Linked DNA regions of Pelodiscus sinensis. The protein of the gene in region 2 purifies or fractionates together with the protein of the main gene of each other region. This does not show direct contact. Links are inferred from orthologs where the notes say so. Each region holds a gene or a part of one and is shown on either strand. Other genes may lie near its edges.

What was found.
Region 1: the proteins of HSPD1 (region 2) and SIRT3 purify together in Homo sapiens (affinity purification with mass spectrometry; 3 studies listed by BioGRID and IntAct, counting the BioPlex papers as one, with this or other methods). This does not show direct contact. The link is inferred for Pelodiscus sinensis from reciprocal best matches to the Homo sapiens genes HSPD1 and SIRT3.

Annotation. Positions count from the first base shown.
Region 1 is NC_134714.1:124,537,628-124,545,109, forward strand, and holds the start of SIRT3 (NAD-dependent protein deacetylase sirtuin-3, mitochondrial), read left to right. Parts: upstream 1-4,472; 5' UTR 4,473-4,594; intron 4,595-5,422; 5' UTR 5,423-5,503; intron 5,504-7,052; exon of another isoform or gene 7,053-7,296; 5' UTR 7,297-7,341; coding exon 7,342-7,417; intron 7,418-7,482. Other genes in the region: PSMD13 (26S proteasome non-ATPase regulatory subunit 13), read right to left, coding at 649-735, 1,027-1,070, 1,671-1,726, 1,809-1,843, 2,840-2,918, 4,238-4,332.
Region 2 is NC_134717.1:71,507,580-71,515,410, forward strand, and holds the start of HSPD1 (60 kDa heat shock protein, mitochondrial), read right to left. Parts: upstream 3,003-7,831; coding exon 2,829-3,002; intron 1-2,828. Other genes in the region: MOB-like protein phocein, read left to right, coding at 4,969-5,058, 7,008-7,172. UniProt on the Homo sapiens protein: Chaperonin implicated in mitochondrial protein import and macromolecular assembly. Together with Hsp10, facilitates the correct folding of imported proteins.

The sequences.
Region 1 (7,482 bases), on a different chromosome or scaffold from region 2:
CATCCATGCTGAGGCAGGATCAAATAAACTTAAACCATCCCTGACAGCTTCTGTGCAGCCTGTTCTTAAAAACTCCCATTAATGGGGATTCCACAACTTCCCTTGGAAAACCCATCTGTCAATGCTCCAACCCCATTGTAATTTAAAAAAAAAAAGTTCAACTAAAAAGCTAAATAAAAGATACATAATACTCCTTAGCTATTTGCCAAACAACATACATGATGCTAAATTCAGTGCATCACCAAAAAGTTGCAGTGTGACACAGAAACATCAAGACAAGGTGACTCAAGGGTTTTTTCTAACCCTTCTCACACGTAAATACAATGACTGGCTATGGGTCACTAGTGGTGATAGTCATGCAGTAGAGGCATATGCCACTAGCATCTCAGCTAAAGGACTAAAACTAGAAGAAACAGTGTTATATGAACTATGCAAACACTCTCCATTATTCCAAATGGAGCTGGATTTCCAGGAGATTGGACTATGATGATTAAGAGAGATTACAGAGGAACTCAATTCACAAAATTCAATAACAAGCACACAAAAAGAGGGGCTGCCTCTAATAGCTAAGTGAGGCCGAAATAAATGAACATCCAGATGAACTGAGTGGGTTCAAGCAGACAGAACCTAAATGCCAACTAATCTCACCTTTGTGACCTGCAGGTCCCCAATGTTTAACTTCAAAGCTCCAATGGCTGTTTTACATAGAATCACAGCCTCATCACTACTTTTCACCTGCAACCACAACATAGTTACACATCAGAGAAACATAACGGTTCCAGCCACACATGCAACTACTGATATTAAATTAGCATAACTTGTGATTTAACTAAGGTTGTGTTTCTTGTGGTTTTCCCACATCAAATTCATATTCACAGAGAATTATATGTCTTGAAAAATGCACCTTCACCAATATAGCCATAGATGTAAACATGTCTGCCTACACAGCCCTACATATAGACGTAAAATGTATCAGCCATTTTACTTAACTGTGCCTACAAGAAAAAAAATGGATTTCACAAATACCTTTTCTCGAGTCTTTTCCAGGAAAGTAAGGGCCACATTGGGATCTAACATGGAGCAAGAAAAAAAGACCATATTTAGGATCTAAGCAGCAGAATATTTGAACCTACCAGAAGCACCTTAACTGGCTCTCCAGAACTCAGAGCTAGATTCTCTGGTGGTAAGAGCCATCATACCTCTACTGAAAAGTTATCTGGTCAAACATTATGTTCAACCAGTTAACCAATTAAAGAGGCTTAGGCAGGAGGCCCCTCTCCAGTCCCATGGTGCTGGAGTTGCCCCCTCCCAAGGCCAGGCTGGATGTCCCTCCTACACAATAGGCAGGGAGTTGCTCCAGCCACCAGTTAACCAAAATTGGTAAGCACCACCCAAGGGTGATGCTCACTTATAAACCTTTCACATAGCTGGTATGAATCAGCATTAGCAGAGGATCTGGCACCATAAGCATCACCCATCTCTCTAGCAAGAGTCTTTTCTGCAACAGCAATTTGACCATTAGCAGTAAAATTCTATAAGTTTATGCTTTTTACTCTCGGTATTGTGCAAACCAACTGCCTCACTCATATTGAAGTCTTAGCTGTTGCCAGCAGCCAGTTAAATCCTATCAGCCCTAAAAAGTCACCATTAATACTAGAAAAGTTACTCACCTGTCATCTGTCTAACTACATGAAGAATGATCTCTACCAAAGACAAAGGGTTCACCCTGAAATGAACACCACAGCATCAGAAAAGTTACAATTAAGAGTGCACAAATGACAAACTTACATACAAGTAGCCAGTCTCACCTGTGTTCAAACTCACTGATGAAATTCTCATAAAGCTGCAGGCAATAAAAAAAATTGACAGCCAGTTAGTGACAGGAGAATATTTCATTATAATGAACTAGGCAACTTGCCCATCACTGCACATAAAACTCCCTCAAATAAAGTAATTTTGTATCCACAGATGGAAAAGTCTAAAGCATATTGACACTAGACTTCAGAAGTTAAAAATTGCCAGAGTCTCCTCCTAACAAACTGTGGAGGTTGATTCACCAATTAATAGATTCATGAGCGACAAGTTGGTACAAAACTAGTCTCTACCAAGAGTGGATTACCTTGGCATGTTCACTCCTCTCTGTTATGAAGGACAACTATTCCACTAAGTAGCTATATAGTCAATAGATGCATGGCTCTTTTGGCATCTCTACACTCCTCTCTAAACATGAATAGCTCATTAATTTCAATATCTATTTGGTGAATCAATTTGATATAAAATGCAAAGGAGAGAAAAATGAGATGTAAGTTCACGGATCTGTGAGCTGCATTCTTAAAGATGACAATAAACCCAACTTGGAACAGAGGAATGAAATCTGCACGGATACCTGGAGTTTGTGCACTCTCAGGAAAATCATTCTGTGTGCATACACAGTTAACCTTTGTTGACAAGGCTGAAGACTGGCCTTTTTTAAAAAATAAGGTGAACCAAATTAAGACCTGTGAAAACTTGAAACTCTTCTAATTCCATTCCTCAGATTAAGTGCCATCATTTTATGTAATCCATTTCTAGCTTTAGAATTTTTATAAAACATGGCCAGATTAAACCAAAACCTGCATATAAGATCCAATCCATAAACTTCTAAAACTAATACATTGTATCTGTTTGTTGACATTTATACTCAGACCTTTCCAGACACACATGGTGTGCAGTTAGGAAGCTTAAAGCATGTTTTCTGATTTCACAATGCTTTGGGGCAGGCCTCCACACACTTATTTGATATCAGCCTAAGAAAGTTCATGCTATTCACTAACACTTGCTTAAGAATTAACCAACTCACCTTGATGAGTCCATCTCCTTTAGCAAAGCAGGGGTCCTGCACAAAGTCCAACACCTGCAGAGTAAGCTGGTGCCAAAGTCTGAAAAAAACAAAAACAAGGAGGCCCCTGACATTAGCAAGCATCAGTGCAATAAGCAAAAAAAATAGACACCTACTGAAATACTGAGGCAAACACTATATAACTAATTTCAGCTAATCTATAAGGACCAATTTAAAGGCTCATTTATGACTCAATTTGCCTGTGGTTCAGAAAAAAGGTCAAGACCTCAACTGGCCAGGGCCAGCAGAATGAAGCTTAAAACTATTCTAGACCAGACTTCATTTTAAAAACCCTTTCCTCATGCACAGATCAGAGGAATAATAAAAACCTGAGTGCTGCTTTCTGAAAAAGTTCTCAAAGAGAATCAGCAGTATAAATCAACCCTCATGACATCTTCTTACCAGTGACGAAACAAGTAGCAAGAAATCAAAAGGAAAACACCAATGTCTAGCCCATTTTCAAAACACTCGTCAATTACTTTTTAAAGACTGAAGTATGGGTTTCAGGTTCTTCAATCTGACATTTTTTGTTGTTTCAACAATTTAATTTTAAAATATAGGAAAATGTGTGTCTCTGTCTTTGCTATGAGCAAAGATGACAAACAAATGAACATCAATAGCACCTAAACAATGAAACCATATATGAAGTGTGGTCAGAACAAAACTGAAAAAACATCTCAAATTTGCTATAATTATCACACATGTTTCCTGTAACTACTATAAGTAAAAAGACACCAACTAAGACCGTGGGCGGCTTTACATTAAAGGTCTCTTTTAAATTGGAGATTAACTGAACAGCACAGGGTCACATAACTACAAGGGGGACTGCATGACTTGAGCATCACTATCAGGGAGTTTCCAACTCTCTTGCGCTGACTCCTAACAACAAAAATTACTGCATGACCCCAGACAGGGGACTGGAGCCTGAGCCTACTCATAGTCCCGAGCTGGGGCAGCAAACCTGAAGCTTTTGGTCTCGGCCCTGATGCCCAGCAAGCCTAACACGAGGCTTGGCGACCTCATTAAAATGGGATGCCCCCCCCCCCCCCCCACTCTGGAGGCCCGAGCCAGAGTTTGCGAACCCCTGCGGGACCTCTGGCCCGCAGAGTCAAGGCGCGATGCTGATGCTGCACCGAAGTGCTGGGGGCGGGGCCTGTGCGCGCACAGGGGGTTACAGGACGAGCCCCCGCCCCGGGGGTCTGGGGCAGGGAGCGTCTCCGGGCGGAACAGAAGCCCCGACACCCGCTCGCTCCAACAGAGCGCTCGAGCCGCCCAGCGCCCGCCAGGAGCCAGGCTCGCGCGGGGGGACCGACCCACCCCGCGCCGGGGAGCAGCCCCCGCCCCCGCCGGCCCGCTCACTTCTTGGTGTAGAGCTCCTCCAGGCGGTGCCACACGGCGGCCTGGCCCGGCCCCGAGCTCTGGCTCTGCTGCAGGAAGCCCGGCACGTCCTTCATGATGGCGGGGAAGGGGAGGGTGAGACCGGGGCGGGCGGGGAACGAGACACCGAGACCCCACCACGGAGCAGGAGGCCAGGCCACCCCGCTGCTGCCGCCGGAAATGCACTCTCACTTCCGGTAACTGCTTCCCCCCTGTGCGCGTGCGCACGCGCGCGGAGCATGACGGGTACCGTATGGCCTCGCGTAGCGCAGCCCCTCAACTCCGCCCTCTCGGGGGAGAGGTGGGTGGCCGAATGCGGGGAGCTCGCTGGTTGCCATGGTAACATCCGCGGCCTAGGCTTTACAACGCGGAGGACACGCAGCCCACGGGCCGGGTGTTTCCCTCCCCGCAGCGGCTCCGTGCCCCCGGGCAGGGCCATAGGGCCTCGCGCCCAGCCCCAGCGCTGGAGCCCACCCCACCAGGACGTTGCTCGCGGAGATCTCCGGGCCTGGCTGGGGGGTGTCTCGAGATTCCGTCCTGCCCCTGCTAAACACGCGTGGGGCAGTAACAGGGGCGACCCCCCCCCTCCCCCAGATCCCTCAGTGTAACGGCAGCGATTTGCACTAGGGCCGGGCACGCGTAACCGTGTCCACGGGGTCATCGTTTGACCTTCCCGGTTACAGCGTGGGAGCCAGGTTAAAACCCGGCTCCTGAGGACCCCCGGCCTGTAACCACTCGGGTTTGTCAGGGGTTACCTAGGGCTGCCAGGTGCCCGGCTTGGACCGGACTGTCCAGTATTTCAGTTTCTGTTCGGGAAGCAAATTGCGGAAATAGAAATGTCCGGTGTTTTCTCAATCAGATGGGATGTAGATTGTGATGCAACCGCAAGTGTGTCCGGTATTTTTGTTGAAACCATCCGGCGACCTTAGTTACGTGTTTGCATAATTGAACACGTTTTAACATCCCTGATGTGGGCCATGAATGCGGTTAGTGTGGCAGGGTTTCTCAAACACCCCGATGGACAGTGCACCCACTGTGGTGGTGGGGTACACAGGGGTCACAGAGTTCCCAAAAAATAAAACAGCTGCTGAAGGCTGCACTTTACACCTGTCTTACCAAAGCTGCTGCTTTCAGTTAATGATGCCCCCCCCCCCCCCGTTTTTTCAGATCACTTTAAAGCACAAGATGCTTATTGAAGTCCCACAATCTCACCATACTATGTTCTGAAGACCAACCAACACCTTGAAGGTAATTGAAAGTAATGCTAAAAGAAACAAATTGCAGTGTTTTAACTTGAAATGCCAAATGTCTTAAACTTTTGAGGAGGTGACTACACAGAGACAGATAGTTGATTTGTCCCCTGTGCCTTCTTAGGCTAAAAAGGAGGAAATCCTAGTGCATTTATTAACAACTCAATGAATGGAGGGAAGAGTGCAAGCATGACCTCAGTGGACAAATACAAAGAAGCTTAAAAGGGCAGCAAATACGGTTGTATGACAGAATTAAAATAGCGTAAGAACTAAATAAATTTTTTAAATGGCATAAAATCAGCAAAAAGAGGTTCAGCAGTTTCATGTAGGGAGGAATAATCAAATACACAGGTTTAAAATGGGAAAATAATGGCTTAGCATTAGAATTGCAAATGGGGATCTCTGAGTAATTTTGTAGATAATAAAATGGATATGAATCAATGCAAGGGGAATATTGAGGTACTGATAAATGGATAAATAGGCTGCCTGGATTACAGGCCTAAATTAGGAATGGTAACACTGAAACCTGAATAATAGGAACCCATGATGTAGTAGGAAGGTACTGAATTACTGGAGCTGTCACCTCTTTACATAACATCAAGGTTCAGACAGGCCTGGTCATGAAAGATGTGGGCTGTATTTTGAAAAATTTGATGTTAATTACAATGTCCTGGCCATTTCTCATCCAGAATATTGTTTTTTGCAGGATTTATATTCTGTATTACCAGTTGTTCATGTTTGAAAATCATAAAGAGGGCCCCCAAAATCACAAGATTAAAGCCAGTCCATTTTGGTTTCTTTTTAGTTGTCTGCTTTTTTGGGTGCTCTCAGATCTGATTTCCAAGCCTTTCTCCACTACCATGAAGGCCAGAAACATATTTTTAAAAAAGTGGAATTTTCACTTCATCACATGTCTCCAGCATCTGAGACAGCTAAAATATTATGAGACTTGTAATGAAATCATAAGAGTTTTGGCAATTGTCGTTCCTTGACCTAAAACAACATTGTTGTATATTGCAGTTAGAGCTGAAGGCTGCTGTGCACTACAGGCAGTCCCCGGGTTACGTACAAGATAGGGACTGTAGGTTTGTTCTTAAGTTGAATTTGTATGTAAGTCGGAACTGGTACATATTGTAGGGGAAACTCTAGCCAAACATTTCTCCAGAGCTCAGTTTTATTCTCCCACACCTCACTTCCCTCAGTCCTTTATTCTCAAGCTGAGGTGTCTGCTGAGGAAAGCCGCTCCACGTCTCCCTGGTCTGCTGGGGGGGGGGGAGCGCTAGCTTCACTTCTCCCTGGTCTGCTGGGGGGAAGCAGCTAGTGCGGGGTTGCCTCACCCCGTTTGTAAGTAGGGATCCGATGTAAGTCGGATCCATGTAACCCGGGGACTTCCTGTACTCCATTTTAGTGGTTAGGTGCATGAGCTATCTGTACTGTACACCGTTTGTACAAGTGACAGCAACTGAAAAGACAAGCTATGATTATCCGGAGTCTAGTATGATCTGCTATGGGCTCTTCTATTATGGACATTGTGGTAAAAGCCTTTCAGCTGTTCTGCCTTGCTAAGGATCACTATAAGCAAACAGATTGTTGCTTTCCCTTGTGCTCTCTGCCCTAGAACCCTCTTCTCCAGCCCCCTGGTCAATAGTGCAGCAAGATCAAGGGGAATACAGGAGATAGTGGCAGCCCCTTGCCATGCTTCTTGTAGCTAGAAAAGCATTTATACATTAGGGTCTCTAAAGGGAGAAGCAGGGAAGTAGCTACAGCAACCTCACTTGTTCTCGTCTATAGTGCAAAAGTCTCCACTTTCTGCCACAGGACAAGTGAAGGGGAAGAATGAGTCTGGGGTTACGATTCAAAGTCCCGGCTGTTAGAAATGGGCTTCCTGCTGCATGTCTTCAGGGATTCACAGGTAAGCAGCATATTCAGAGGGATTGAAAATTATTAGAGGGTGGGGAACAGGTGGATTTGGAAAGA
Region 2 (7,831 bases):
GGTGCTGGGGGAGGAAACCAGCTTTTAAGCCAGCTCCTGCCCCACCCACTGCCTCTCATACAGAGGCAGCAAGCAGGTGGAGGGAAGCAAGTAGTCAAATACTCGACTCCCGGCTACACTTAGCCTTATCTGGTAGCCAAGAACTCAACTACTTGCTCACATCACTAGCTCAGGGGTGTGAAAAGTTCACAACCAGTTCTACCAACCTAACTTCCAATGCAGACAATACTATGTTGTTGGCACTTTACCACTTTTTGCATCATTTTGTCAACCCTCACCTTGAGGAACTAGGCATTCTCCTATATGTGTTACATTTTTGCTCTTCGAAAAAGCTAAGAAGGTGCCACCTCCAACTATCACGGAGTGACTAGCTCTTTTAAGAGGGGGCAGGGCCCGGGCACCTACTGATTAGTTGCCTCCCAAAGGGGGTTAAGAAAAGGCACCTGAGCTACATAAAAGCGAAGTCAGGAAAGCCGGATCAAGAAGAAAGGACAGATGCAGAAACAGAAGCAGCAAAGGAGAGCAGGTGCAGAGAGCTATTGGGAAGAACAAAAGCTAAAGAGTATTACTGATGGGGACTGGCCAATGCTGAAAGCTGGTGCAGAGGCCCCTAGAAACAAAGGGAAGAGCCAGCCTGGTTAGGGAAAGTCAAATCCAAACCAATAAGATTGATGCAACAGAATGGTTCCCAAAAGCAGGAAGAATTTAGGAAGGCCTACGTGAGTAACTCAGCTAGTTCACGTGGGAGACCTGATTTGGGATTACCAGAGAATAGTCAAGAGGAAGGAAGCAAATGTGGGAACTCTCAAGTGGATGGCCTGGAGACTGGAGTTCTGGAACATGACAGATGATATCCCAGAATGGGGGAGGGGGGAGCTGAGAACCTCCTCTACTTTAGGATTTTGGAGAGAATGGTGTTATGAGGAGTCTGCAGATTACTGAACAAATACTAGAATACTATTCTTACAGTTAAGCCTTTGAATTGAACATAGAAATAAGGGTTACTTTTATGGCTGGACCAAGAAGAAACTCAGATACACACACACACCACCCCCCCCCCCAGCGCAGCTTATGGCTTGGGGGTTACCTTGTCAGTCATGAAGACAAACCAATTCCATTTCCATTAACACAGAGTAACTGCTTTGAGAAACCTAGTCTTACATAGGTTTTTAGATTATTTTTTAAAAGCCATGACACAAATTAAGTAGAATTTCCTCACCACTTGGTTTCTCTCAAGCTGACATTTTTTGTTTACAAAGAACTAGGGGGCTGCATCCCCTGCTCACTATGCTCGCCAACCCTCCTTCTCTGGGGGTAGGCAGCCAGGGTCAGCCACTGGGAAGGGCCAGGTTGATGCATGGCAGCCCTGGCCTACCCCCTTTCCTCCCACCCATCACACCAGTCCTGGCTCTCTTCCTCCAGCTGCCAGCGGGGAAAGGGTGTTAGGCCAGGCGGTGGCAGCCCCGGCTCCCATCTGGAGCACTAGAGAGGGAGGAGGTAAGCAGGACGTAGTGACATAATGACATCACTGTCATCCCACATGAAAAAATTTAGATTAGATAGATATTTAAGGAGTGTTGAGTAATGAAACACTCACCTTTGGAGATAACTCAATTATATGCGCGCGCGCCCACACACACACACACACACACTTCCAATCCTGCAGAGACCTACTGTGTATAATTTTATTCATGGAAGTAATCCAACTACATGCAATGGGATTACTCACTAGGATAAACACTTGCAGAATTGAGCCTAAAGGTGTATTCACCTAACAGCCACTCCTTTTATTATATCCTTGGGACTTGTTCGCGGTTACATGGTTTACCAGGGCAAATCAGGAGGAAACCCAATACAGAGACCCCAACTTTGGATTTATACTCGCTAGAGAAGTGGTTCTCAACCTATCGCCATTGTGGGTCACAGCCACACACTATAGATACACAATACTGCCTATATAGCCCTGAGGGTGTCACTTGCACCACAGCTATATGCTGATTGAGCACAAAGTGGTCCACAGGTCAATAACCTCTGCCCAGGAGAGGTGTATGATCTCCAAAGCCTTGCGTTAAACACAACCCCTATCCAAAATTACTGTCTTGCTCCAACATCACAGCTAGTACTCTGAAAACCTAAATTTGTTGTAGGTTGTTCAACTACCTCTATTATAGTCAACACTGCATGTTCACATAAGCCACGCTATTTACTAGGGATGTAAATCCTGATTAATCAGCTAAACAATAACAGATTAATCAACTGGTTAACCAATTAAGTGGGACTCCAGCTGCCAGCATCAGTCACCAGGGGCTGCCTAACAGTGCTGAAGCAGCTCTCCATCATGGCAGGTTGAAGCAGTAGGCTGCTCGTGGGGAACCATTTATGTTGTGTGATGGGAGTACTTAGCTTCCTCCCAACATGAAATTGGGTTTATTACTTTAAACTGAACTGGGTTCTGAACATGACACTTCTAAAACAGTAACATTCCATTAATACTAACCATCATAAATATATCCTGCCATAAGTCATCTTCCATCCACTGAACAATTGTCCAGCCAAAATTTAAGTGCCTGTATGGTGCTGGAAAGACTAATTTAGCAGCACAGAGATTAAGTTCTAACAAGAGTCTGGCATATTATTCATTTACTATTTCTGTGCACACAGTGGTTTAATGACTGATAAATTAACTTATGCACTGTATCTACTATAATTTTGAAATGGTCCATTTGATGACATTTTTTACTTTACGAATACCTCAATCCCCAACTGGTTTATAAAACAGGGCTGTACTGAACAAGAATTCACATTACACAAAAAATAATTTAATATACCTTTGGTCCCATGGTGACAGCTACAGCATCTGCTAGAAGATCTACTCCCTGTAGCATAAGAGCTCTAGCATCTGCTCCAAATTTAACATCTTTTGCATAGGTCCGTAGTAGGTGTGGGGCCAGTGCTCTGGACACTGGCCTCATCTGACGTAGCACTGTTGATAAACGGAGCATTTCTGAAGCATAAATTAAAATAAAAAAACACAACCACGTTAGTTTTCATTTGTCACAGTCCTTTGAACAGCCTTATTCCTACATTTTGTCCTCAAATTCCTCCCAAAATTTAAGGAATAAATAAATTACTAATAGTTCTTGAGTTTTAAATGAAAGCTGTGACCTAACAAATATTCAGTACCCTAATTTTACTAGACACTGGATACCAGAGCGAAAGTCCGGCCACCTGGAATCCTAGATTCTAATTCCAGCTCAGCCAGTGACAGGCTATGTGATCCTGGGCAAGTCACAACTCCTGCAGCTCCGTTTTTAGTCTGTAAAATGTGAATAAAGTGTATCAAGCTCACCAGAACGTGATGTTCATTTTGTTTTTCACATGCAGAGATTACAGCCACGGTGACAATGAGTTTTATCACAGCACTATTATGTGTTAGAGAACAGGGAAAGGGGCATTTCTCTCTCCCAGAGTGGGCGGGACGACTATAGACAAGGCTGGTCAGAGCTCAGCAGCTTTATCAGCAGAAATGTCCCCAAAATGAAGTCCCCGTTCCCCAAGGGGCACGCGACAGGGAAAGCCAAGCCCGCGCTGTCCCAGGGCGAGAGCATGTCACTAGCAACTAGCACAAAAGCTGCAACAGTAGCAACAGCCCGGCAGAGTCAGCAAAGCCCCGGCCCCCCGCACGGTTCTCACCGTCAGGACACAGCAAGGTCAAGAGGCGCTCGCCCCCTGCTGCTGCCGAGCCGCGCTGCACGGCGGGCAGGGAGCGGAGCCGGCCACGGGCTCAGGGCAGCGTGCAGCCCGGCAGCGGAAGGCACGGCACGAGGGCCGGTTCCCACGCGTGCGGGGCCAGGGGCGGGGGCAGCGCAGCCGAGCGGGGAACACGCTGCCCCCCCCCCCAGGCTCGCCACGTCTCCCCCGCCCCCCCCCACAGGCTCGCCACGTGCCCCCCCACCCCGACCCCCCCCAGGCTCGCCACGTGCCCCCCCCACGTTCCCCCCCAGGCTCGCCACGTCTCCCCCGCCCCGACCCCCCCCAGGCTCGCCACGTGCCCCCCCCAGGCTCGCCACGTCTCCCCCCGCCCCACGCCCCCCCCAGGCTCGCCACGTGCCCCCCCGCCCCACGTTCCCCCCCCAGGCTCGCCACGTGCCCCCCCGCCCCACGCCCCCCCCAGGCTCGCCACGTGCCCCCCCGCCCCACGTTCCCCCCCCAGGCTCGCCACGTGCCCCCCCGCCCCACGTTCCCCCCCAGGCTCGCCACGTGCCCCCCCCCCCACGTTCCCCCCCAGGCTCGCCACGTGCCCCCCCCAGGCGAAGGTCTCCCCTCCCCCCAGCCCGCGCGCAGGAGGCGGGGAGCCGCTCACACCGTGCGGGCCGGGCGGACAGGGGCTGTGAGGGGCCGCTCACCTGCGCTGGGAGGGCTGGGAGCTGGCGAGCCGCGCGGCGGGACTGACGGGAGCCTGGAGGGAACACGGCGCTGGCCAGCCCTGCCCCTCCCCCGCGCACGCAGCGGCCCATGTGGGTCCCGGGCAGCGCGGCCCCGCAAGCCGCATAACAGCATACGCGGGCCCCGGCGAGGGGCGGGGCGCGGCTTCCCGCCAATCGCGGAAGCGCGTAGCCGGGGCGTGGGCGGGGCCTGCGAGACCTCGCGCCCTATGTGCGCCCGCCGCTTCCTAGCGTGTGAATCATACAGATTTCGGGGCCTCCCCATTCCAGAACCTTCTGGAACGCTCATGCTCGCCACAGGTCAAAGGTGGTATTGCGTCACTTCCGGATGTTCGTCCGCTGCCGGGCGCAACGAGGCGGTACTGAGGCCGCCGTTTAACATCGCCGCATAGAGAGTCCGGTTCTCGTGCGGAAACTGCCGGCGAGAGTAAAAAAATACAAGTGCCGAAAGCATTTGTCTCCCAGGAACAACGGAAGTAGCCCCGCCTTCCGGCGCGCGCCGCTCGAGGGGAGGGGGAGGCGCATGCGCAGCGGGAGTGGTCCACCCCACGTGCAGTCGCGGCGGGTCAGTGGGGCGCTCAGTCGCAGAGCGGGAGGGACACGCTGCGCCATGGTGAGCGTCTCGTCCCGCCGCGCGGTGCTGCCGGGGCCCGCCCCTGGGCCGCAGTGGGGGGGCGGCGGCTCTGGGCACCCCCCAGTTGCCGCCCTGGGGCTGCGGGGCCCGGGGTTGCCCGGGGGGCGGCGGCGCTGAGCGCGGGGCCGGGGGGCGGGGGGGTTACCGCAGTGGGGCGAGACGCGACACGCGATCGCCCGGGCACATCCGCTGGGTCGGCCCGGAGCCCCTGGGCATGGAAACGTGTCCTAGCAGCTGAACAGGCAGCGAGCCTCCCTGAACCCTCATTCCCAGCTGGCCTGGGACTTGCCCAGGAACCGTCTTCTTAATCAATACAGTATAATTGGGCTGGGTTTCGTCTCTTGGCTTGTCCCTGAGCCTGACCTTGCCTGCTCACAAGGTCATGTAAATACCGCAGAAACTGTTAAGCCATGGTGGTAGAGATGTAGCCGTGTTAGTCTGGGGTAGCTGAAGCAAAATGCAGGACAATGTAGCACTTTAAAGACTAACAAGATGGTTTATTAGATGATGAGCTTTCGTGGGCCAGACCCACTTCCTCAGATCAAATCATGTTAAGCCATGGAACCAGTGAGGGCAAGGATGACCTTTTTCAAATACGTTTGTTCTCTCACCGTTTCTATCACTAAGAGAGACAGTAAGTTATTTTTAAAAGTCAAACTTAATACAGTGATATTAAGTGCTACACAGTCCTGTATTTTGTTTCAAACTTAATAAAGCGATAGTGAGCTCGTATTAGTAGGTCTCTGTAATGTGTCTTTAGACGATGCCAAATCCAACAGCCACAGCGGGAGGAAAAAACTCCTTTCTAATTTTTTCTATTTTTTTTTTGTTGATCCCTTTAGTATGTGGTCGTTCCTGTCACAGAAAACACTGATTTAAAAGAACATAAGTTAGTATAAAAAGACCCCAAATTCTTAAATCTATGCAATTGGTTAAACTAGATGTTTTCAACATGTTGATAGCCTTGCCCAAGTCTTAATAGAACTGGGGGATGAACCAACGTTCGCTAATACTTTTAAGAATATTTTTGATCTGGCAATCATATCCGCATCCTGCTTCCAAATTTATTTTTTTGTGTAGCAATAGCCCCTAAGGGAGAGATCCGGGCTTGTGCGTTCTCTGTATTTCTAGCTGATTCTACACGTGTCCAGGCTGTGGCACTTTGACATCTGTAGAAGCAACTGGAATGGTGCTGGAAGCCAGCAGCCTGTGACTTGGCAATTCTTCATATGCAACAACTTGATTGCTTTTAAACTAAAATGTGTTCTGGCTCTCTTTGGCTCCCTTTCTTGTGTTACTTGCTTAGTGAAGTTGCAAGGATTGCAGACTTGTATGTGGCTTGCACTCTGTGATCTCAAACACTGCTGTTACCTCCTGGCTCAGTAGTTAAGACTGACATTTTTAACAGCCCTAGGTTGGTAACCTTTGCTATTGCCTGCTGCTAGCTTCAAAGTAATTGCAGTTCTCAGTGTTGGGTTTTCTTTCTCCATCCTCAGCTGCACCCGCTCCCCCTCCTGCTTTCTGTTCCTTCTCCATGCAGCAAAGAGGCAGTGTTTGTAATATAGTTAATATATTATTATATATTTTAGAGTTTGTTTATTCAAGATCTCCTAGATGGTAAGAGTTGGGACCAACATAAGGGATGGGTATACGTGGAATGGGATCACTTCTCATAAAACCATACATAAAAGAGACACTCACCAGGCAGGTGAAAGGGGCTGATTGGGGGTGCACCCTTCTCCACTCTCTGGGACTGGCCAGCACTGAACCTCCCATCTCGCAGGGCCCATTAGGGAGGATGGGAAGGGCTGAAGCTTCTGCTGTTTAAATAGTAAAATCTTGTATTTTGGATTGCAACTTTGTTGCAGTCTCCAAAGTGATTTGGTCTTTTCTGTACAGTACAAAAATATTGAATTCTATTTCAACAGGCTGGGAAAGCATTTAGGAAATTTCTTCCTTTATTTGACCGTGTTCTGGTTGAAAAATGTGCAGCTGAGACTGTAACCAAAGGAGGAATCATGCTTCCAGAAAAATCTCAAGGGAAAGTGCTACAAGCAACAGTAGTGGCAATTGGATCAGGATCCAAAGGAAAGGTAAATCTATCCCAATTTTGCACATCACTAACTTTTTTGGATAAAACAAATAGAAGCAGGATGTTATCTGAAAAATGAAAATCTAGATAGCTAAATGATGTTTGTCCTTACATTTACATTGTGCCTGATCTAAACAATGTCTATAATATTTTGAAGAGGACATTTTTAAAAAGAGCCAAGATCTCCTCAGATCTAATTTGGCACAGATAGTCGCTGACCAATTTACTGTGCTTGTCTTTGTCCCCATCTGTAAAATGAGTAATAATACCTCTTTCACAAATGTTTTGAGAGAGCTAGTTATTGATGGTTGTAAAGAGCTTTAAAGAAAACAAGCTCTTTTTAAAAAAATGTTTTCTGGGATGATAGTTTTTCTTGCTTTGGCATTAATTGTTAAATGATGCAATCTGAGTGTTGGGAGGCTGAAGGCTCGTTTTTGCATCATGGAATAAATTGTTGAATAGTCTTATTGATTAAATTGCTATGGCCCACAGTGTGTTTCCACGTTTTAAGAGCAGAACAGAAATACAGACCATGGTTTGTATTAAATATTATGAATAGTCTTGGGTTGTGCAAAACATCATGTGTTAATTAAAGCTTTTAAGTGTTCTAGCTTCTTGGACTTTCCAGTTTTAGAATAACTGGAGATTAGGTTAAAACTT